Linked DNA regions of Styela clava. The protein of the gene in region 1 interacts with the protein of each later gene in a pairwise test. Links are inferred from orthologs where the notes say so. Each region holds a gene or a part of one and is shown in the gene's direction. Other genes may lie near its edges.

Region 1 (7,117 bases):
TAGTAAGACCGCATAAAACCAGCCAATATCTGAATGTTTGTTAGTCTGAGTGAGGCCATAGCTGTATAGTTTCAATTGATAATTCTCAGCTTTTTGCTGATTTGGTCATTGTCATCATAATAGACAGAGAGGTTGATGCTCGGGGGAACATTCATTAACAGTGCAAACTCTGAAACCCCACAGTTCTTAAAATTCCAAGATGTCCATACATTTGGTTCAATAAAACAAACACTCTATTTGTCTCTGAAACGAGGGCATCTGGCATGATGACATTTGCGTCAGATTGCGCCAGGCCTCGGTATAGTTAAAAATTTTGTTTTTAAGCTAAATTGTGTTTTTAAGCTAAAAAAATTTCAGTGTAATCCAATGGTGACGTTTGTAGTTTGCACTTTATTTTAGTTCATTACGCAGTGCCAATTTGCCGCTTTGAGTCGATATGGAGGCTGTCTCGTAATAGAGTTGTTGCCGCTGGAAGGCTATTACTTTTAATTTTTTTCAAACATTTTTCTGAGCCCTATGAGAATCGTTTTTAACTTTGAATGAAAATGCCCTTATGCCACCGAGTGACAGAATAAGTTCAATAGTTATCACTCATGACATCGCAATCTGAAAACAACTCATATTAGCGCTATCTGAAAGTGGGATGGTCCTGACAGCCTGAAGGCGCGTGGTGAACATTGGTGTGTGACGATAATAGGGTAACTTATGTTAGGGTATGTGCCCATCTAAGAAAACTTAATACACCATATTAGAATGGCATTACTATTTCTAGCTACAAACTGCCTGTCTTAGATGATTCTTATTTATATTTCGGTGGAAAAATCTTTTAATTTTGTTTTTTTAGCCCTGGATTTGGATTTGTTAGGCATTTGTTCCACTGTGAGCCATTAAGCCATTGCTATTTTTTTGATGTCAAAACTGATCAAGGATAGTAGTTATTCGAAAAGTTTCCATAAAATCTGAAAATTTTTATTTGGGCTATTACAAGCAAATTTGTTCAAAAGTGCAGTGAAAGTAATTGTTTTGTATTTTTTATATCAAATAACACTTGTATTTTATTGGACTGCATTCAGTTCACTGGAAAATTTAAAATTTTACCCAGGTTTTTAATCATTTACACAAAGGGGCCTGAAATGTAGAAATTTTGATAAAATTGACATGTTTTGTGATGACTTGTAACACGAAGTGTTTGTTTGTCTGGTACAGTTATTTCGAATAGATGCACTGGACTTATGTTAATAAAGATTAAGTGTTTGCAGTGCCGTAGGACATGTTTTTACCTATTTAACGATTTATCGGCGCGGCGGTGTGGCTCAACGGGCTGAACTCGCCACCGCACCTCTAATTACTCTGCGTGGGTTCGCAGGTTCGAATCCCATGCAGGGATGGTTATGTGCGAGAGGATTGCTGGACTCCTCGCCGTCGTTGGGTGGTTCACGTAACTGCTGGTCGGTTACGGCTTCCCCCACCACCAAGTCCATGCTTCCGAAAACAAACAATATAACTAATCCCATACCCGACTTGGAATGGTAACCGGACGAGAGGCCGTGGTTCGTCATATGGATAAGCCGTCTTATCGGCTTTCCTCTCCCCGAGATAAATATGTAAATCCTAATCTTATCTTATAACCTGAATTTTAAGAGATGATAGAGGCCGCTGTTCCAAGGTGGAAAAATGCCCTGTAGTGTCACATATAATGTGCACATCATCATTGTAGATCTACAGTGTTACATTGAGTAGTTAACTTAAGTGTGTCATAGCGGGGTCATTCAGTTACTGCGCCAGAAAATATTGAGGGCTCATGCTGTACCATCGCGACAATTTACAACACAATGAAACGTTATTGCGTGGTGGACCTGTCGTCCCGTAGTGCCACGCTATATTTTTACTGTGTTTTTAATGAGTCTTTTATGTAACTTTGGTGCAGTTTTGTTTAAACCCCATAACTCAACTGATTGGGCAATGACACAAAACATGTAGCTGGCAATGTAAAAATATATTGCAAATCACAACATGCAAAATTGTTCCATAGAGTCACCGGGAATAACACATTTGGTGTTCTACAAAACACAACAATGGATCGATATTCGTAAGGGAAAAACTCAAAATCCAGATTAAGAACTAACAGTGTGTTTGTCCTTTCCTAATACTTGTAAGAATAAAAGTCTTTTTCTTGATATCACATTGAAATATCATTGCTATTTTTTGCTACTTGTAGCCTGTCTTGGGTAATTCTCTTTTTGTCTTTGGTAAGCTATTTCAGCATTTTGTGGCTCTAGTTCTGTAATTTGGATAGTTCTCTGTAGCTTTGATTTTAAGAGGGTGGGTGAATGGGTACATGGGCACAAACGCTGGTTACAGCACCTGTTATAAACCTTTCTCTAGATTTTGCCCATTTTCCCGATCTTTTCGTCGCCATTTTCTGTGTATTTTATTTTATTCATGTTCTGTTTTGTAGACAAAAGATCGAAATGAAATCGTATTGTGGGTATTTATCCCCATTGGCTTCAGCAGTATAATAAGTGTTATCGCCAAATATTTCCTATTTATTAAACAAAGTCAGCGGCCAGCTAGAGAGCCAGACTAGTAAAGCCTTGTCATACCATTACCAATGCGTGATATTTAGCATTGATCTTGTATTTGTTAAATGATGCACTTGGAGTTTTGTTTGCAGAGTTAAAATAAAATTTTTAGAATGGCCGGACCACTGTAATTTATATGTTTTGTGTACGACCCTTTGGTGAAAATAGTTGAGTAGCCCTGCTATGGGGTGAATCGCCGTAATTGCTTTTATTTAGTAAGTGCAGCCTGCCGTTACGGCTGTAGTTCGGTACCAATTCAACGTTTATTAAGCTGAGATGAAATTGATTTAGCTCATTAATAGCGAGTTTAACTTCCTTTTGAACAAGTTGCTACACCCCATTGCTTTTGTCTATGAAGAAAGAATAGAAGATTATATTGGCAAGTGAAAAATGAAAGCATAATGGAGCTTTTGATAACATCTATAGTAGTGCTTTCCAAACTTCCCATGTAGGTGATATATTTTGGCGACACATTCTGATTTAATGTTATTGTTATTTAAAATGCTTAACTGAAAAATGTAAACTTACAATTACAACATTTCAATATTTGATTGAATGAATGCAAGATGAATTCTGTCATATTTTATCATTTAGCATTTTCAACCTAGCATGTGCAATTGCCTATTACCATTAAATTTTACCCGAAAACTAACAAACTAGTGTAATAATAAATGCTGAATCCGATCTTTCACTTTGGCACCACACTATAGAAAACAGATCACTGGTGAATCAGTATGTGTCAAGCAACATATGTCTATCAAACAAAATAGCATCGTGGTGCTGTTAGCTCAATGGTAACAATTATCATTAAATGAAAGTAAGGTGTGCAAGCATAATAACCATATCTGTGGTCAGTGACCATTTCAGGCTAACATGTCTAACCATTAGATTTTGATACTTAGCAAAGAATGTTTATTGCATCATAAAAATGAATAAGGAAACTGCATTCCAGAAGACATCCCAATTTTTCAAGCACTGATATTAGTGTCACAAGTTCAAAGATGCACCATTGTAGTACAAGTTGGGAATATAGTTTGCTAAGCTCTTATCTATACAATAACTGAAGTGGGTCCATCAGTTTTTCATAATTTTCTTTTGTGTCAGTTGCTGCCAAACCTTGCCTTTGAACATCAACACAGATTAACCACTGACCGCCCCTCAATGCATGTACCGTAATCAAATATGGTTTGCTATTTAGATATTCGCACTTTAATGAAAAATGATATGACACTCATATTTTCTGAGCATGATATTTCAATATTACCTGTAAGAATATATCTAATTCATAGCTGATACTGATAGCCAGATGAAAATATATTGACAGGCAATCCGTGCATGCCCACTTTAGCACTTACTCTTGTTATGATCATAATTTTATCTTGTACTGAAATGCAGTATATTATTTATTAACCACACTGTTGCTTATAATAACCCTCAGAAATACTTGCTTATCTTAGTGATAGAGATTCATACCATTCAATACTGATACTGATATTCATCTGTATTTTATCTTATTTATTTATGAAATTTTATAGCATATTATGGAATGAATCATAATTAAGCAGTTATTTAAAGAAATTTTTGAATTTCTGCACAGTGCACTTCAGAGGAAACAGTTGTACATCTTGAGTTTTTTGTGACTTTCTAACAGAACATAAGTTCTACATTGACTTAACAATTTCTGTGGTGGTGATCTCAGGGAATTTGCGCATTGAATGCTGGTAATTTTCTACAAATTTATCGCCCCTGTGGAACAGATTTGAATAATGGCGAACGTTATGCCACCAACTAATCAGCATATGCCCTCATCAGGGCACAAATATTCTGCTGGTAATGGACCAAGCAGACAACCTTCTGCAAACTCAGTTCAAGGTTCTCGTCAACAGAACAATAAGCCTGTTGCTAACTCTCACCCTCAATCTGGCAAAGTTGGGTAAGCAGGATTTTTTCAACTTTGTTTTTCAGGAAATAGGTTTGATTCTATATCGCTACTTGCTTATTGCCTTGGACAGTAGTCTGTGGTTGATAGTATGTATGCAGTTGCAGTTGACAATCATTGACTAATTCAGTTAATAAATGGATAAATATATATATCCATATTTGTTTTGATAAATATCAGCTTAAAGCGAAGTCACAAAGAATACACTATAAACAAAATTATTATTATGATTGAACAAAGCATACTATTGAATGATTTTATGCCGGAATCGTCTCTAAATATTTAAAATCTAATGTTATGTTACATTAACATTCTCAAAAAAATTCAAAATTTTTCACCCTGTACTTTGAATTCATTCGAAATTAGATCGTGATTTAGCAAAAATAGTGCGCAGGAATCCAAAGAAGGTGTCTGTTTTACAATTTTTTTTTGTTTGTTCAAGAAAAAAACATAGGCTTATTATCTTGTATGATTTCAGTACTTAAAATGGAAGACATTCTTCGGTGTTCTTAAAATCAAATTTATTCTAATATTCAATTCATTTCATATGTATTCCTTTACATCTAATTTTGTAATTGGAATGGGTAAATTTATACATACCTTTGTCAGAAACTGATACCAAAAATATCGAAAAAAATTGATTATTCGACAGGATTAAAAATGGAAATGTATTATTTTGGGATTTCATATTGAAAGACTATAGGCCAAAAACTTGTCATACAATGCACATAACTAGACATGGCTACCTGCAGAATAATGTTGAAATGCTTATGAATGCAAGCTTTGGCCTGATAACATTTGCTAGTTATATTGGTTAACGGATTGTCATTCATTTGTTTCCAAACTTGCTTATTTATTTACATTAGGGAAGGAGAAGATTGGAAATCAAATTTACATTTGCCACCAAAAGACAGAAGAAAGAAAACTACTGTAAGTGCACTAACAATTGATGATTACACATTCGACAAGTATTTTACCTGTTTACATTTAATCGAAAGAAGAATGTTTCTTGAGAGACTTTTACATGATTGCCATTGCGAAGTTCTCATTACTTTACTTTATATGCCAGGACGTTACAGCGACTAAAGGAAATGAATTTGAAGACTTCTGTCTCCAGCGAGAATTATTGATGGGTATTTTTGAAAAAGGCTGGGAGAAACCTTCACCCATTCAGGAAGAAAGCATTCCTATCGCATTATCTGGTGAGATATTAGAATAAATAATCTTAATAGAATTTTTATCTAACTCTGTGGTTTCTACTTTTTTATCTCTTAAGAAATTGCTTTACACTTTGAGTGATAATAAATTTCATGTGAAGGATAAACCTATTTTTCGGCATCTATAACATTGTTGTATGTTGTTAGTTGATATAGTATAAGATACATACCTAAAATATATATTCAAATTAATTAAAACTTGAAATTATAATATTAGAGCCCAGTAACAGAGTGATAAGGAAATGACTAAAATATGACAGGTTATACTGTGTAACAGTATGAAATGTTTTAGAATTGGCTCGTAAAGATCTACCGTATATATTTATATGTACCAGTATATTTTTTTTGTGCTAAATTTACTAACTTCATTTGTCTTATTAGTAATCTGTTCAAATTGGTTCCAATGAATATATCAAGTCAGAATGTCTTTATTTGTGTATTCACTGTCATTCCAGGTCGAGATATTTTAGCAAGAGCTAAAAATGGCACTGGAAAATCTGGTGCCTATCTGATTCCTTTGTTGGAAAAATGTGATATGTCTAAAGATTATGTTCAAGGTAACACATAATTTATATTGCAATGTATATTTGTAAACAGGATATAATCTAATGATAGCCTAAATTAGTTTAAACTATAACATAAAACAGTATTTGTAGTTTCATTTGTTCCATTCGCTCTTGAAAAACTGAAATTTTGGTTGTAGATAATGATGTACTCTTGCTGATTGATAACAAGATAGGTTGTACTCTTGACTGGAATATACATGCAACAATAGTATTATGGTTTCATATTTATTTTGATTTTATTAATTTTATTTTACTATTTACTAGTGTCGAATGGTTTGCTGCTGTATGTGCAGTAATATCTGTAATTGACATTCTTAAAGCTTGTTCATATTTCGATTAAATGCATTGCTCAAAAAGTTGATCTCTATATTTTTGATACTGATAAAACAATAGCAGTATTATGTTCTCATCTATAGGCCATTACAATTCAATATTTAACATACTTGGTTTACTTAGGTATTGGTCATTTTTTGTTTACAAATGACAAAGCTTTCTTTTATGTTATACTAGCCATGGTTTTGGTGCCAACACGTGAACTGGCATTGCAAACATCACAAATTGCCATTGAAATGAGCAGGCACATGGGAAATTTAAATGTGATGGCCACAACTGGAGGAACCAACTTAAGAGATGATATTCTCAGACTTGAAAGCAATGGTAAGATCTTTTGGATAAGTAAAAATTTAGTTATAATATTAGTTCATCTATACTGTATATAAAAAGACTTTCCTTGCAACTCTTTGATCAAGCTGTGCAGAAAATATACCTTTTTCCTTTTGTCCCAAATCTCAAGAAACCAATAGGTACTTAACC
Region 2 (7,491 bases), on another chromosome or scaffold:
TCCATATGACTATATCTTTAATTTAAAATAAGAAAATCAACCCCCTCTTGACCGGAAACACATGCTGCTGGGCTTTGAAAATCACCAAATTCGCCATATATGAGTTATGTCAATTTTGCGGCAGATTATCAAAAGTCAATCGGAAAATTCACATAATTCCAAGTTTTTGTTGGAATTCATTAAACTTTGCTTACAATTTGTATGACTTTATCTTTAATTTAAAATAATAAAATCAACCCCCTCTTGACCGGAAACACATGCTGCTGGGTTTTGAAAATCACCAAAATCGCCATATATGAGTTACGTCAATTTTACGTCAGATTTTCAAAAGTCAATCGGAAAATTCACATAATTCAAAGTTTTTGTTGAAATTCATTAAACTTTGCTTACAATCTGTATGCCTATATCTTTAAGTTAAAATAATAAAATCAACCCCCTCTTGACCGGAACCACATGCTGCTGGGTTTTGAAAATCGCCATATATAAGTTATGTAAATTTTGCGTCAGATTATCAAAAGTCAATCGAAAAATTCACATAATTCCAAGTTTTTGTTGAAATTCATTAAACTTTGCTTACAATTTGTATGACTTTATCTTTAATTTAAAATAATAAAATCAACCCCCTCTTGACCGGAAACACATGCTGCTGGGTTTTGAAAATCACTAAAATCGCCATATATGAGTTATGTAAATTTTGCGTCAGATTATCAAAAGTCAATCGGAAAATTCACATAATTCCAAGTTTTTGTTGAAATTCATTAAACTTTGCTTACAATTTGTTTGACTATATCTTTAATTCAAAATAAGAAAATCAACCCCCTCTTGACCGGAAACACATGCTGCTGGGCTTTGAAAATCACTAAAATCGCCATATATGAGTTATGTCAATTTTGCGGCAGATTATCAAAAGTCAATCGGAAAATTCACATAATTCCAAGTTTTTGTTGGAATTCATTAAACTTTGCTTACAATTTGTATGACTTTATCTTTAATTTAAAATAATAAAATCAATCCCCTCTTGACCTGAAACACATGCTGCTGGGCTTTGAAAATCACCAAAATCGCCATATATGAGTTACGTCAATTTTGCGTCAGATTATCGAAATTCAATCGAAAAATTCAAAAATTTATAAGTTTTTGTTGAAATTCATTAAACTTTGCTTATAATCTATATGACTATATCTTTAATTTAAAATAATAAAATCAACCCCCTCTTGACCGGAACCACATGCTGCTGGGCTTTGAAAAACACCAAAATCGCCATAAATATTGACATAATTTTGAGTTTCTGATAGAAATTCATTTGCTTCTGCTTACAATTTTTATGATTATATTTTTCATTCGAAATTTTAAAACCGTCCCTCCTCCGTTTTCTTTGCTTTCTTCAATCCGGCATTTCCTTTTTTATGCTTGTTTACCATATTTTAACAAGACAAATCATTGGGAACATTAAATTTTACGCGTGGGTATTTTCTGCGATTCTGTCAGTCTTAATTTCGTTTTTTGCTGCTAGCTTCCCAGAGGTTTAATGTTCCCTATTTGAAGAAAGACGCCAGTGGATAATATGATACTGTACTTTAAACATTCTAATATTATATTGCCAGGAAAACAGCTTAGTGTTAGCTTGTGAAGAGGGTAGGCTGATAGTATGAGATAACTGAATAACAATTCTGGTGACTCCGTTGTAGGCCTACAGTGAAAAAAAATCACAATTGTTGGTCGCCTTTCATGAACATTGAATACCCAATTGTAATGAAATAATCTCGGGAGAAATAAAATAAACTATATATGAATAAACAAATAATCATTTGTACCACAAAACTGCGCGAAGCGTTTTGATATTTGAGCGTTATTATGTTCAAAGCGAACATACTCTCGAATGTTACTTTACCAAAGTGTACCATTATGTGCGTTTAGATTCTGTTGTGAATCACAACAAGCATTGTGATCTGTTAAACGTGAGGCCCAACGTCATTGAATATTTCCCGATATAGTATTTTGAATATTTCGACAAGAACTTCGTTGGTCATTTTACGTGTATGTAAAGTAAACAGTGCCGAAGCGAATCACACCTGTTGATCTGTGTTTTGTTATACTGAATGTTGATGCGGAATTAGCGAACAAGTGACTCCTGGTTTGTCATATGACGTCTTGATAATGCAAATGCAGTAGACCCGTCAATAAGTGTTTTTGTGCCTAAAATACCCCCGATTTTGTTCTCCAGATTAGCAGCGTTATTCAAACAAAAGAGCTACGCACAAATATATGGACACGTTAGACCAGAGCGAATCAGTCTTTACCGGTACCTTTGACGCTACCGGTACCCTCAAAAAAGTTCTGAATTTCCAGTAGCAAGAATTTTGCAGAATCAAAACGTACAGCCAGTCATGACACTGACTAAAATCCGTGTTCCCATGGATAAAAAATAATACAGCAAAATTTTAGACGAAATATCAAATTTCATAGAATTCACGCAAAATTTTGAAATAAATAAAAGTAATAGCCTTCTAGCGAAGAAATTATTCTTTAACCACTGAAAATTTCAAAGCAATTGGTCCAGTATTCGAAGAGAAAAGCGATTTTTTAAAAACGTGTCAAAGAACAACAACAACATAATATTGAAACGATCGTTATGGCCACTAAACGTGTCCAATAAGAGATATCAGCCAGGTGAATGATTACCGTTATTATTGAATATAAAATTTATTACATTATTAGGATATATTCACGATTTAACAAAAAATTGCAAAAGCACTTTCACACAGGTATGTCGTAAAGGCTTCGATGCAAACATTCACTGATTTACTTCTACTACTACTTGGCTACATCTCACGGCAATGTACCAGACAGAAGTGCATTTCTCGAGAAAAAACCGATACCAGAATACCGGGTCACGTGACATTACATGCTGTTTTATTTCTATTCACTTCTATGCTTTGCCTGTTATTGCAGTATTACACAGTTTAATTACAATCGGTTGAGTTAACTGGCCTTTAAGTTTAAGGTTTTGGAAACTATTAATGTTAGTTGTTTGAAACTGGTGAGGATTGAAGAGAGAATGAAGTAAGACGATATTTTATCCCAACAATTACTGAATTAATTCATGTAATGCAGTAATGATACGGTACCGGTACCCGTGCCGCTACGGTACGGTACCGGTAATTACTGAATTAATTCTGTAATTCGGTAGATTACCTGTGCTGTAATTCAGGCAGTCGCGCAACAAACATTTACAGTACCTGTACGTCATTGAACTTGGGTCATGTAATATGGTACATTACCGTAATACAGTACTGCAGTAAGGCCAGAAGGCGGTGTAGCTCATCGTGCTAAGCGTTAGGAATACGGTACGCTCGCTACGCACCTCTAATTACTCTGCGTGTGTTCGCAGGTTTGAATCCCATGCTTCATGGTTATGTGCGAGAGGATTGCAGGACTCCTTGCCACCGTTGGGTGGTTCACCTAACCGCTAGTCGGTTACGGCTTCCTCGACCATCAAGTCCATGCTTCGGAAAAACAAATACCTAACTAATCCCATACCGGTACTCGACATGGAATGGTAACCGGACGAGAGGACGTGGTTCGCTTCGCTATATGGTTAAGCCGTCAAATCGGCTTTCCTCTCCTCCAGGATAAATATGTAAATCTTATCCTTATCCTTAATATGCATGGATACTGTATCATTTTTAGGTAAGAAAATCCCTTTGATCTGTAGATATTTTTTAATAAGTTTGTTCAAAGCAAGGTCTGTAGTCTACAGTAGGACTGTAGGATGAGAACTGCTTTGAGCTTCTAAAAGTAGTTTTCCTAGAAAAACTTGTACTCAGTACCGGTACGGTACTAGACTATTGCGAATTACTTAAATTAGTTCGGCACAGTTCTCTGAATATTGGATTACAAGAATAGCCTCCATACTACAGTACACCACACTATACAGATCGAGCGACATTGTCTCGTTTCATAGAGACCCATTTTACTGATCATTAGACACCCCTTCGGCTTCTCTGGGGGACGTCTGCACATGGTTCGATAGTTGTCCCCCAATATCAGTTAAAATATAGTAAATTGAATTTGAGCAAAAAACCACAAGGAAGGGCAATCTAAAAATGTCATCATTGAATTCCTCGGGGAAAAAATATTCCCATTTACCGATGGAAAAAATATCTACCGTGGCATTCGAGAGTTTTGAGCAAAAAACGGCAATTTTGGTCATGTGACGGCTGGGATTAATTTAGATCATTATCGAGACAAGCATGACGCATCTGCTGCGTGCCAGACACCTTTGGTTTGTGAGACACATGGAGTGTTTGTTTTATTGAACCAAATGAGGGACATTCTTAGAATTTGGAAAGATATCAATTATAAGATTTAGTGTGAACCCCTCCTTTACGAGACAGTCCGGGTCTCCAACTGGCACTGCACAATAAACTAAAATGAAGCGCAATCTACAAAACGCACCATTGATTACCAACTGATATTTTTTAGGATAGCATCAAATAATATAACTTTGAAAACTAGTTTACTATGTCCGAAAAGAAAGCTGATATTAAAAGCTCTGGTGAACCGGCAAAACCAGAAGCAACCAAAGAGCAAGAGAAAGGTGATTCAAAAGAAGTTACTGTAGAAGATGAAACTGCTATCAAACACCCACTGCAAAGCAGGTATGTTGTGCTGCTTATACAATTCAGGAAATCAAATGATATATTTTGTCCTAATTTTTATGCACAATTTGTATGCGTACTTATTGAATATAGACTACAATGACTTTTTTGTGCTTTCATGGCATGATTAGAAAATATTCGAAAGTCTGAAGAATTTTAAAATTTGTTTGGAATAGTGAATTACATTTTTAGTCACCATTATGTTAAGTGTACGAAATTTCCAATACAATGATCTTTGATCAAGTATACATTTGTAATGATTCTGTTTTTTTAGATGGGCACTCTGGTTTTTCAAAAATGATAGAAGCAAAAAATGGGAAGATAATTTAAGATTAGTAACTAAATTTGACACTGTAGAAGATTTTTGGGCGTAAGTATTGTTTTATTACATTTTCTAGCCAAGACTTTTTCTGTGATAAGAATTCCTACTCAGCGTTACTTTATTGATATTTGGTGAATATAGAATTTTATGGATACAAAAACAAAGCTTTATAATGAAATATTTGAATCAAGAGACTTCAAAAATAAATTTGAGTATGTGAATAATCTTTACTTGGTATATTTTCATTAAGTGTTTATCCTTTATCCGGTAAGATTATTTATTCAAAATAGTTTTTTTCTGTCTCAAATATCAATTGGCAATGTCTCTCTTTGATATTTCCTTCTTTATTTCATTGATGCACTAACTTGTGTAGTTTTTCTCATTTAAAGACATATTCATGAGGATCAAAACCTCATGTAAAGACATACTAATAAACATAAAAGAATCTTAATTCGCTGCTGTACTACATGCAAGCTGATGTAAAAGTACACAAAGTGTGTATAGCTCTAGTAATTCTTGCCTTCTTCTGTAGGCTTATAGCTGGAGCAAGAATTGTCATTCTGTATTAAATAATTTATGGGACAACTCAGTATTGGCGATTCCCCCATGAAAATACAAAACAAAATGGTTATAATATTTGTTATCAGTTGTTTTATACCACAAATGTTTTCTATTTTCAGAATCTATAATCATATTCAACTTTCTAGTAAGCTGCAAAGTGGCTGCGACTATTGTCTATTCAAGGTATGGTTATTGTCATACTACTGATATCATTTTGATATCTATATATCTGCTCAGTAATCCTGCTGTGACTCTTTTGTAACGTTGAGAACATTTTTAAACATTGAACCTATTACAAGGCTCTTGGGGGTTGTGGTTTAACTGAATGCTTACTGAAAATGTTCATTTATCATTGCTCATAGTCTAATTCTAAATGTGTGGGCGACTTTAGTTATGTGTTGGTTGGTTTTGGTTAATGCTTGACTAACTTCCCTTGTTAGTTGTTAATGTTAAAGTTTGAAGTTATCTCAACCTTTGTTTTATGTTGTTATTACTTGCAGTACTTTTAGTTCAACTGCGGGTTCCTGCAGGAATGCTATGTTTTTTTTCGGTACTCCCATAGTGTGTGTACCAGGTTTAGGCCATAATTTTATTCCAATTTTCCTTATTTTAGCTCTATCTATTATGAGTTCGGGGAATGTGTGTGTTAGCCAAGTGATTATACCCCCCCAGTCCATAGCTGTCAGTCCCTTTAACAACTTGATGTAAAATAGGTGAACAAAATTAGATACCTCCATATTGGTTCACACACTTTTGGGGCGCCTTTTTTTTTTCAATGTTTCCAGCTTTCAAATTGTGCAGCATATTACTATTATTATAATGTACAGCATTATAGCGTTTTTGACATTGGATCTACCTATTGGTATCTCAGGTTGAATATCTCTGGCCCTCCAGCATATCAGGGCGTAAGAGAGTGTGTAATGCCCTGTCCAGTGTTTCGAAAGCATAGTGCTAATTTGTCTAACACAGATGTGAAGTGCAAAAAGTCAGAATATAAATCAAATAAGTAATTCTTTCTCTTGATAGCCTGAATTTCTAAAATGAATTTTTATCACAATAATTTCATGAAGTTGTTTGTAATTTTTCCTAATCTCTACAATATGTGCACTGTATGCAGGATGGGGTGCAGCCTATGTGGGAAGATGAAGCAAATAAAAATGGTGGACGATGGTTGTTTCAGTTGAACAAAACACAGAGATATCAAGAATTAGATAGAATGTGGCTTGAAACTGTAAGTTTGGCTTGTAAATATAGTATAATAAGTTGTAAATCCTATTGTCATTTACGATTTTTTATCTGGGGTTTTTGTATGGGTGGTTAGAACTGGAGCTGGGACTATCAGAAATTTCAGTGTACAGCTCCTAACCATATACCGTAATTATTCTCCAGATTTCTAATTCCCAATATAAATTAATATAAAATCTATCCTATATAAATTTTTGATATTTTATGTTACAAACCTTGCTTGGACTGGTAACCGGATGAAAAGCTGTGGTTCACTATATGATATGCTGTATTGTCATCTTTTCTCTATATTTTTATAGACATGATAATCCTCAACTATCCTACCGCAAAATTTAACATATTGCTTTTGCTTTTGAAAGACATTTTGTGGTCCTGGTTTTTTAAGCACATTTCATTAATAATAGAAAGTTTTTGATATACTCATAATAATGATGTGATAAATTATCTTTTTCTCAAGATCCTCTGTATGATTGGAGAATCTTTTGAAGCAGAATCAGATTTTGTTAATGGTGCAGTAGTTCAAGTCAGAAACAAGGGAGACAAGATTGCTGTATGGACATCAGATTGCCATAGACGTGATGTGATTCTTAAAATAGGGTATGTGGCTTTAGTTTTCTCAAAGTTTTGAAGTGTTTTCTGTTGTTCGTTTTTGATATTGTTGTGTGAAAACAGAAATAAACAACTAATGCTGTTACTGTCTTA

Evidence for each region. The genes of interacting proteins can lie anywhere in the genome.
Region 2: the proteins of putative ATP-dependent RNA helicase DDX6 (region 1) and eukaryotic translation initiation factor 4E-like interact in binary tests that used the Drosophila melanogaster proteins (3 or more experiments, as listed by UniProt). The link is inferred for Styela clava from reciprocal best matches to the Drosophila melanogaster genes me31B and eIF4E1.

Annotation. Positions count from the first base shown.
Region 1 is NC_135253.1:749,737-756,853, forward strand, and holds the start of putative ATP-dependent RNA helicase DDX6, read left to right. Parts: upstream 1-4,095; 5' UTR 4,096-4,348; coding exon 4,349-4,515; intron 4,516-5,387; coding exon 5,388-5,451; intron 5,452-5,590; coding exon 5,591-5,723; intron 5,724-6,193; coding exon 6,194-6,295; intron 6,296-6,814; coding exon 6,815-6,961; intron 6,962-7,117. UniProt on the Drosophila melanogaster protein: ATP-dependent RNA helicase which is a core component of a variety of ribonucleoprotein complexes (RNPs) that play critical roles in translational repression and mRNA decapping during embryogenesis, oogenesis, neurogenesis and neurotransmission.
Region 2 is NC_135260.1:20,083,929-20,091,419, reverse strand, and holds the start of eukaryotic translation initiation factor 4E-like, read left to right. Parts: upstream 1-4,465; 5' UTR 4,466-4,524; coding exon 4,525-4,661; intron 4,662-4,935; coding exon 4,936-5,031; intron 5,032-5,663; coding exon 5,664-5,727; intron 5,728-6,661; coding exon 6,662-6,775; intron 6,776-7,246; coding exon 7,247-7,386; intron 7,387-7,491. UniProt on the Drosophila melanogaster protein: Recognizes and binds the 7-methylguanosine (m7G)-containing mRNA cap during an early step in the initiation of protein synthesis and facilitates ribosome binding by inducing the unwinding of the mRNAs secondary structures.